Cricetulus griseus: one gene and its partner. The protein of the gene in region 1 purifies or fractionates together with the protein of each later gene. This does not show direct contact. Links are inferred from orthologs where the notes say so. Each region holds a gene or a part of one and is shown on either strand. Other genes may lie near its edges. The genes, in order: P4ha2 and Col1a1.

Evidence for each region.
Region 2: the proteins of P4ha2 (region 1) and Col1a1 purify together in Homo sapiens (co-immunoprecipitation; 3 studies listed by BioGRID and IntAct, counting the BioPlex papers as one, with this or other methods). This does not show direct contact. The link is inferred for Cricetulus griseus from reciprocal best matches to the Homo sapiens genes P4HA2 and COL1A1.

What each region holds. Positions count from the first base shown.
Region 1 is NC_048600.1:68,286,630-68,290,437, forward strand, and holds part of P4ha2 (prolyl 4-hydroxylase subunit alpha-2), read left to right. Parts: coding exon 1-155; intron 156-1,671; coding exon 1,672-1,865; intron 1,866-2,609; coding exon 2,610-2,786; intron 2,787-3,808. UniProt on the Homo sapiens protein: Catalyzes the post-translational formation of 4-hydroxyproline in -Xaa-Pro-Gly- sequences in collagens and other proteins.
Region 2 is NC_048600.1:108,118,297-108,122,550, forward strand, and holds the start of Col1a1 (collagen alpha-1(I) chain), read left to right. Parts: upstream 1-1,380; 5' UTR 1,381-1,503; coding exon 1,504-1,579; intron 1,580-3,005; coding exon 3,006-3,200; intron 3,201-3,322; coding exon 3,323-3,354; intron 3,355-3,473; coding exon 3,474-3,509; intron 3,510-3,598; coding exon 3,599-3,700; intron 3,701-4,254. UniProt on the Homo sapiens protein: Type I collagen is a member of group I collagen (fibrillar forming collagen).

The DNA of each region.
Region 1 (3,808 bases):
TGTGCTGTGGATGGAGCAGGTGCTGAAACAGCTCGATGCTGGGGAAGAGGCCACCATAACAAAATCCCTGGTGCTGGACTACCTGAGCTATGCTGTCTTCCAACTGGGAGACCTGCACCGTGCTGTGGAGCTCACCCGCCGCCTGCTCTCTCTTGGTAAGAAGGTTAGGGGCTGGAGCTAGTAAGGGAACTTGACCCTTCTAGCCACACTGCTTGGTCATCTCTTGGAACTAAATCAGTTTGATTGTCACTGACTAGTTCCTTACCTGCAGTCTTGAGGTTAGACCATATGCCAGGTGCTGATGGGTATTCAAAGGCCTGTGACATCTTGTGTGTGTGTGTGTGTGTGTGTGTGTGTGTGTGTGTGTGTGTGTGTTGCTCATGCATGTGCATAGGCTTGTGTGTGCAAGTGCCTGTGCACATGTGAGCACACTCTGTCACTTTTAAAAATAAGGACCTAATGTTGTGGTGTTTGTACCATTATGCAGGGTAGACCCTTCACTGTGTAAAATATAGATTGAGAAGCAAGCTGTCCTTCTGGATTGCTGCAGTGACAGTAATTCTAGCAATTAGTGGCCTGAGGTCTAAAGTAGGACTTAGCATGCCATTTGTCCCCTGCATGTCCTGTGATGTGGGACAGAACAAGGCCCGAAGTATTGTATCTTTAAAGCCTGTTCATTATACCTTTTACTAATACATGGGCACATTGTCTGGAACATCACAGAGCAGCGAAGACTTGACTTTGCCACTGCTATCCAGGGGCCCTGAATGGAAGGCCAGCTAGCATTTGAACATTGCACAAGACCAATGTGGGTAGAGGGTTTTGTAGGATCTGTCATGTGAGTTAGTAAGAGCCTTGGACAGGGAGTCAGGATACTCCAACTCTTGTGTGTTGTTTCATCTTAAGTCACTGGGCATCTTTGAGCTTCAGTTCTGTTATCTGGGGAATGACATAGAAATCCTGCCGTGGCTGTTGCTTCAGGTACTGTGTTGTCCACCAGAGCCGTGACTCTTCTATTTTTAAATAAAAGTTTATTACATTTATTTATTTATTTGTTGTGTGTATGAATGTGCAACTGCCACAATGTACATATGGTCAGGGGCCAACTCTAGGGAGTCAATTCTCTCCTTTTACACCATGTGGATCCTGGGTATTGAACTCAGGTTGTCAGGCTTGGGCAGTAAACATCTTTGCCTGCTGAGCCATCTGGCCTGCTTTGTACCTCTTATTTATTTATTTATTTATATTTATTTATTTATTTATTTATTACCAGTATCTCAGCTTGTCTTCCATCTGTAGCCAGTGTGTGATATGGTCACCAGACCTGGCTGCACTCTGGGGAATGGCTTTAAACAGCTACAGCCATTCACAAGGAAGAGGCAGAACTCTGGGAGACCTCCTGGAGTTCCTACAAGCTCTGTGTTCTATCTAACCCCTAGTCACTAGCTGAATGTGCTCCGCTTTAATGACACATCTCCTCATCACTTGACAAGATGAAAGATCCTCTGTTGGCTTTTCAGCTCTGGCGGATGCACCCTGGTTAGGTGCTGCAGCCAGCAGAGCATAGCATACCAATAGGCTGCTGGGAGAGGAACGGCTCACAGAACAGTTTCTGTAAATGACCTAACAGATGTTTGTGGTTTCCTTGCCCTCACTTTTCGCTTTTTCTAGACCCAAGCCATGAACGAGCTGGCGGGAATCTGCGGTACTTTGAGCGACTGTTAGAGGAAGAAAGAGAAAAATCCTTGTTCAATCAGACAGAAGCTGGACTAGCGACCCAGGAAAACGTGTATGAGAGGCCCGTGGACTACCTCCCTGAGAGGGATGTGTATGAGAGCCTGTGCCGTGGGGAGGGCGTCAAACTGGTGAGAGCTGGGGAGGGGCAGGTGGCCAGGCTGGGGATCTGAGTGCTGGCTCTGGGTGGGCAGCATGGGAAGTTCTGCTGTCTATTCTTCTTTTTTTTTTTTTTTCTCAGCGTCTGCTGAGGCTGGTGTGTATGTGTGTGGGGGAGAGGGGGGCTGTTCTCTGATGCATAGGACAGGAGATTGTCTCCATGGATGCTCCAGGGAGAATTGCTGTCCCCTAGGGCATTGCTGTACTCCCCATTCACCCCAGTGTGCCTACCTATCATTTGACTCATTAGTTTGAGGGAAATGATGGGAATAGATATGCATTAGGTCCCTGGGAAGTCATGGTGTAAATGACAAAAAAGACCCAGTGGTAAAAAAAGGCAACACTTGCAGGGGTTTGGTGTCTGTGTCCCTGGCTTTTGAGAGCCCTGGTTCCACTGATCCTCACAGCTCAGTATGAGGGAGGCGCTCACCTTTCCTGTGCTCCCGATTGGCTTCTGATTGCTCTCCGTCTAGAAAGGCTTCTCCCCATCGGCTTCAGGCCGATTCAGATCTCTATGAGCAGGGTCAGGAAGTGCCTCTGTCACAGAAATTGTGGAGAGAAGGGGAGCTGCATGGTTTGTGTGAGGTCAATTCCTACTCTGGTTTTCTTCTGTGGTGAAGCTGAGGACAGCCTTGGCCGTGGAGGGTGAAACCAGTGTGTGCAGACAGCTGGGCTGGAGCTGAGGGTAAGAACTCACTCTGCTCTGTGCTCCCTAGACCCCCCAGAGGCAGAAGAAGCTTTTCTGTAGGTACCATCATGGTAACAGGGTGCCACAGCTCCTCATCGCCCCCTTCAAAGAGGAAGATGAGTGGGACAGCCCGCACATTGTCAGATACTATGATGTGATGTCGGATGAAGAAATTGAGAGGATCAAGGAAATCGCGAAGCCCAAAGTAGGTGTCTCTGGTTTTGCTGGGGCACTGAATGGGGTGGGGTGCAGTTCCTCCTGCTGCCTCTGTGGGGCAGGTTGACTGTGCACCAATTCAGGCTCACCAATAGCTAGTGTGAGTTGGGCTCATATGCTGTGGACTTGGGCTGACATTGTTGGTTTGTGATCTAATAGAGAAGAAAAAGTAGGGAACAGGCATGATGCAGGTCATGTTGAGAGCAGGGCATCTCAGTGGCAAATGCCATTTCACCAGGTTGAAGGGCTTGTGCATAGATCTTTTAGGAAATGCATAGTCCTGGAAAAGTGGAATCCGTGGAGCTTCTGATCAGGACTGCAGTGAGGGGTGGGGGCTGCAGTGAGGGTGGGGGCTGGGGGCTGCAAGGGGTGGGGGCTGCAGTGAGGGGTGGGGGCTGCAGTGAGGGGTGGGGGCTGCAGTGAGGGGTGAGGGCTGCAGTGCGATGATAAAGACTGCAGTGAACTGTTTGACTTGGAGGAGGGTGTACATCTGTGCAATTCCTTATAATCTTTACTTATTCATGTTTAAAATTTCAGTTCAAATACATTTCTTACTAAGCTTATCCCTCATTTTTTTTCTTTGTAAATTTTCTTCTTGTGAGTATTTTAACTTGTTGCATTAGTGAATGTTAGTTCACTATTATATGCTAAATTTTTGGATAGCATTTCTTTTTTATATTGGGTCTTATGTAGTTCAGGCTGTCTTCAAACTTTTTATATATGTATATATCTAAGGATAACCTTCTGCCTCCACTTCCCAGGAGCTAGAATTACAGCTGTAAAATATCATTCCTGGTTTATGCAGTGCAGCCAATCAAACCCAGGGCCTCGTATGTGCTAGCCCAGCATTCTTTTAGCTAAACCATGTTTCTAGCCTAGTATGCGGAACTATTGACTTTTGAAATATATCTCCCAGTGGTAACCAGTGTTTACTGAGCTTGCTGTGGCAGGACCTGCCTCCCGTGTTGTATGTGTGTGAACTGTTGCAGACTCATTCCACCTTCATTTCCC
Region 2 (4,254 bases), about 40 Mb from region 1:
ATTTTGGCAAGATGATGGTCCTAAATAGATTGGGGGTCAGGCAGAGCACTTTGAGGGGTGATGGGACATAGGGGAAGAAAGGACACTGTCTTCTAGAGACATCTTCTCTAAATATAACCTGCTGTTCTGGGGGAGCGGGGCTACAAATGACCCTTTCCTGAATGTAGAGGTGGAGAGTAATGGCCAGGGTTTCCAGCAAAGAAACCTGTGGAGAGTAAACTTAAAGTCACTCAGCTACCAGGCACAAGTTCCCTCCACACACTGAATTCACCTAGGTGTCCCCAGACCAAGTACAGGTACAATAAGAAAAATGAACTCTGCTGCTTTGAGAACAGCTCTCCATGCTGAAAAGCCTTCTATGCATTCTCTCTGAATTGACACTGCTACATGATGGGCCCGGGGAGACCTCTAACCAATCCCTGGCTATAGCACTGCTGATACAAGACCCTTTTCTAAGATATCCATGGTCACAGGCCTCCCCCTAACAAACTCACTTCCCACTTCGCTCAGTTCACTCGGGGATAGATGAGTTCAGGGAATGAATTGATATAACAAACCCCAGTCCATAGCTTTAAGGCCCCCACAGATCCCCCAGCCTACCCTGCTCCCTATCACTTAATGCCTAAGCCTCCTTCTGGAAGGACAAGGGTGTCAAGCTTCTCCCCAAGCCTCAGCCTCAGAGCTGTCTCCCTCAGTCACACCTGGAGTTGGTCTGTCTTGGAGCCACAGTCATGGCAGAACAGACAACTATTCCCCCCCCTCCCTCTTTTCAAGCAGTCACATATCTGATTCTTGGTGTCTATGAAGAGATATCTAACTTGTTCACAAATATTCCTATCCTCCATACCTGGGCCACACCAAGAGATGACCCCCGCCCTGCCTGAAACAGGCACCTCTGTTTAGCTACTTGGTTCCTCTGATTTGGAAAGGTGCATGTCCAGTGTATTCCTTATTCCTTCCCAAGGATGTCAGAAAGATTAAAAAGCAAGGCCAGTTTTCCCAGTTATGCCTGACCTTGACCCTTCTATAATGTTGCCCCACTCAAATCCCCAGTTTCACATCCTTCTGATTTGAGGTCCCAGAAAGAAAGTGCAAGGGGCATCCCCTACCCACAAATCAGTGTACCAAGGGCCCAGTCATACTCCAGTATCTCTGGCCTGGGTAGGTCTGGGGGGCAGGGGCAGCAGAGTTGCAAAGTGGGGGGGGGGGGCTGGGTGGACTCCTTCCCTTTCTTTCCCTCCTCCCACCTCTTCGTTCCAAATTGGGGGCCGGGCCAGGCAGTTCTGATTGGCTGGGGGCCGGGCTGCAAGCTCCCCCTCTCCAAGAGGCAGGGTTCCTCCCAGCTCTCCTCAGGATGGTATAAAAGGGGCCCAGGCCAGTCGTCGGAGCAGACCGGAGTTTCTCCTCAGGACGGAGCAGGAGGCACGCGGAGTGAGGCCACGCATGAGCCGAAGCTAACCCCCCACCCCAGCCGCAAAGAGTCTACATGTCTAGGGTCTAGACATGTTCAGCTTTGTGGACCTCCGGCTCCTGCTCCTCTTAGGGGCCACTGCCCTCCTGACGCACGGCCAAGGAGACAGTAAGTTCCAAACTTTGGGGAGTTCACGGCTTCTTGGTATCGCGTTCTGCACTGGGTCCTGACAATTGAGACTTAAACGGATGCTTCAGTCGGAGGTGGGGAAGGTGATGGGGAGGAACTGGGAGGAGAGAGGCCACCCTGGGGTGCAGATGAGGATGAGCGGTTCTCAGAAGTGGAACGTGGGGTGAAGTGGCTCAGGAGTAAGTTCCAAGCACCCATAAGTAGCACAACAGGAAAAGTGGGAATCTGGGCACGGGTTGGGACAGAGTACGTCGAAGGTGGAATAAGGCGGCTGGAATAGAGATTCGGAGCCCAAGATGTAAAAGCTATCAAAGAGGCTGCGGGGTGATTCATAAGGAAAGATTGTTTGCCTTCTCTGCAGGCTAGACAGTGTTGCTGGGGCCGCCGGGGTGCTGGGCTCAGGGGGAGGGAACGCACGGAGTGGGAGGGTTGCTGGATGAGAAAGTTTGGCTCGGACTTGACAGGGCGCGGTCCCTGCGCCCCCTGCTGGTCAGCCTTGAGCACTACGCGTCCTGGTACTGCACTTTATAGCGCGCGGGCTAAAGAGGGAAGATCTGGGTTATTGCCGGGCTTGGACCCCCATCTCCAGACGGGGAAAATAAAACCAGGCATGGGGTAGCCCCAGTCTTTAAAAGAAATGGCTCAGGCTGGGTAAAATTGGTTCCGCTCAGTCCGTTGCTTAGTGTTGCCCGCCACCTAGTGGTTGCCTTGAACCGTTACTAGAGCGGTGGGCGTGGTTTACTAATCATCACTATTTGTAGACTTGAGTTCTTTTTAGTTAAGGAGAGACGCCAAAGCACTGGCTGGCTCGTCTCGAAAGCGAGGTTTTAAGATTCCTGGGGAGGGAAAAGATTCCTGGGAGCATGGGGGTTAAGATGTATCCAACTTTAGGACCGGACTCCACGGAGATCAGCCACTCCACATTTTAGCCCCTCCCACTCCATCCCACCTGCCCAGGGAATGGGGGTGGGACCAGGGCTGGAACTCCCCTTCTCTCCTCCCACCCCCGCCTCTTATTTGCGCTCAAACCACATCCCACGGGCCCCGTTCTACTGTATAGGATCCCTCCTACTCTCCCGCAGAAGGCTTTTTATTTCACTTGGTTCCCGCGCGCGTGGGCTGAAGTTGAGTTTGGAAGCAACCCCAGTCTAAAGCTTTGTTTAAGTTCCTGAGAGCTGGGAAGTTATAGCTGTCCTGGCCAGGCGCCCCGAGCTGTCACTGAACGCCGCTTTGGAGCAGACCAGCATTTAAGGGTTTTAGGGAAGAAAATGGGGAGTGGGGGATGCGGGAGGCGGGAAGTGGAAAACCTACGTGCGCCTCTAAGACAGAGGAAAGGGCGAATAGGGCTGGGATCCCTGGTGCCCCGAAGTGGGGACTTAGAGCCGCTCTTTCCCTATTTGCGCAGTCCCTGAAATCACCTGCATACACAATGGCGTAAAGATCCCTAATGGTGAGACGTGGAAAGCCGATACCTGCTTGATCTGTATCTGCCACAATGGCACAGCCGTGTGCGATGCCGTGGTGTGCCAGGAAAAGATGGATTGTGTCAACCCCCAAAAACGTGAAGGGGAGTGCTGTCCTGTCTGCCCAGAAGAGTTTGGTACGTTCTGGGCCTACAGTTAGGGGAGGTCAGAGTCCCGTCGTTGCCTGTGTCTTGAAAGCCTCTAACACCTCAGGTACCTTAGCAAATTTACTTCTAACTTCACATCTTTTCCCCCACAGTATCACCAGACCAAGAACTCATAGGAGTCGAGGTAATACTCTACTCCCTGTTTTCACTCACCCGTCCATGACTCCTACTGTCCCTCCTATGGACTCCAATTTTCCTCATTTCTCTAACCGGCCTCTTGTTTCTTCACCCTCAAACCCACAGGGACCCAAGGGAGACCGCGGCCCTCAAGGCCCAAGGGTAAGCATTGCATTCTAAGTGAGCTGGGAAACTGGAGGGGGCGTGGCTCTGGTTTGTGCTCATAGCAGCCCCGCCCTTTCTTGGTGCAGGGACCCGCTGGCCCCCCTGGAAAAGATGGCATCCCTGGACAGCCTGGGCTTCCTGGTCCTCCTGGTCCTCCTGGTCTCCCCGGCCCTGCTGGCCTCGGAGGAGTAAGTAGAGCTTGGAGACCTCAGCCCTGTGTGACTCCCGGTTTTTGCTTTGATTTGATTTGATTTCTGCAGATATAACTTTATATTTTTAAATAATCATAAGCTTACAGAAAAGTTGCAATAGTGCCCAGAACTTCCATTCATCCTTCATCACAACTCCTTCACCACCGAGTACACAGTTATCTCCTGTCTGTGTGTGTGTGTGTGTGTGTGTGTGTGTGTGTGTGTGTGTGTGTGTGAAATTACCAAGAACATGCCCATGCCCTATGCTCCAAAGCACGTACGTGCATTTCCTTAACAGGGGACCATAGTACCAAATTTAAAGTTCCTCTAGCACTATTGCCTAATATACAACCCACTTTCAGATTTCCTTTATAGCATCTTTTTTTTTCCTTCTTGTCCAAGACCACCATTTTCATTTTGTTATCTCATCTCTTTGAGCCCCACAAATGTTGACTGTTTCTGAGACTCTTTGTCATCCTTGGCACAGCAAGGGTTTGAAGAGTCTGGTTGATGGGCAGAGGCAGTTATTTTATAGATTGTTCTGCAGTTTG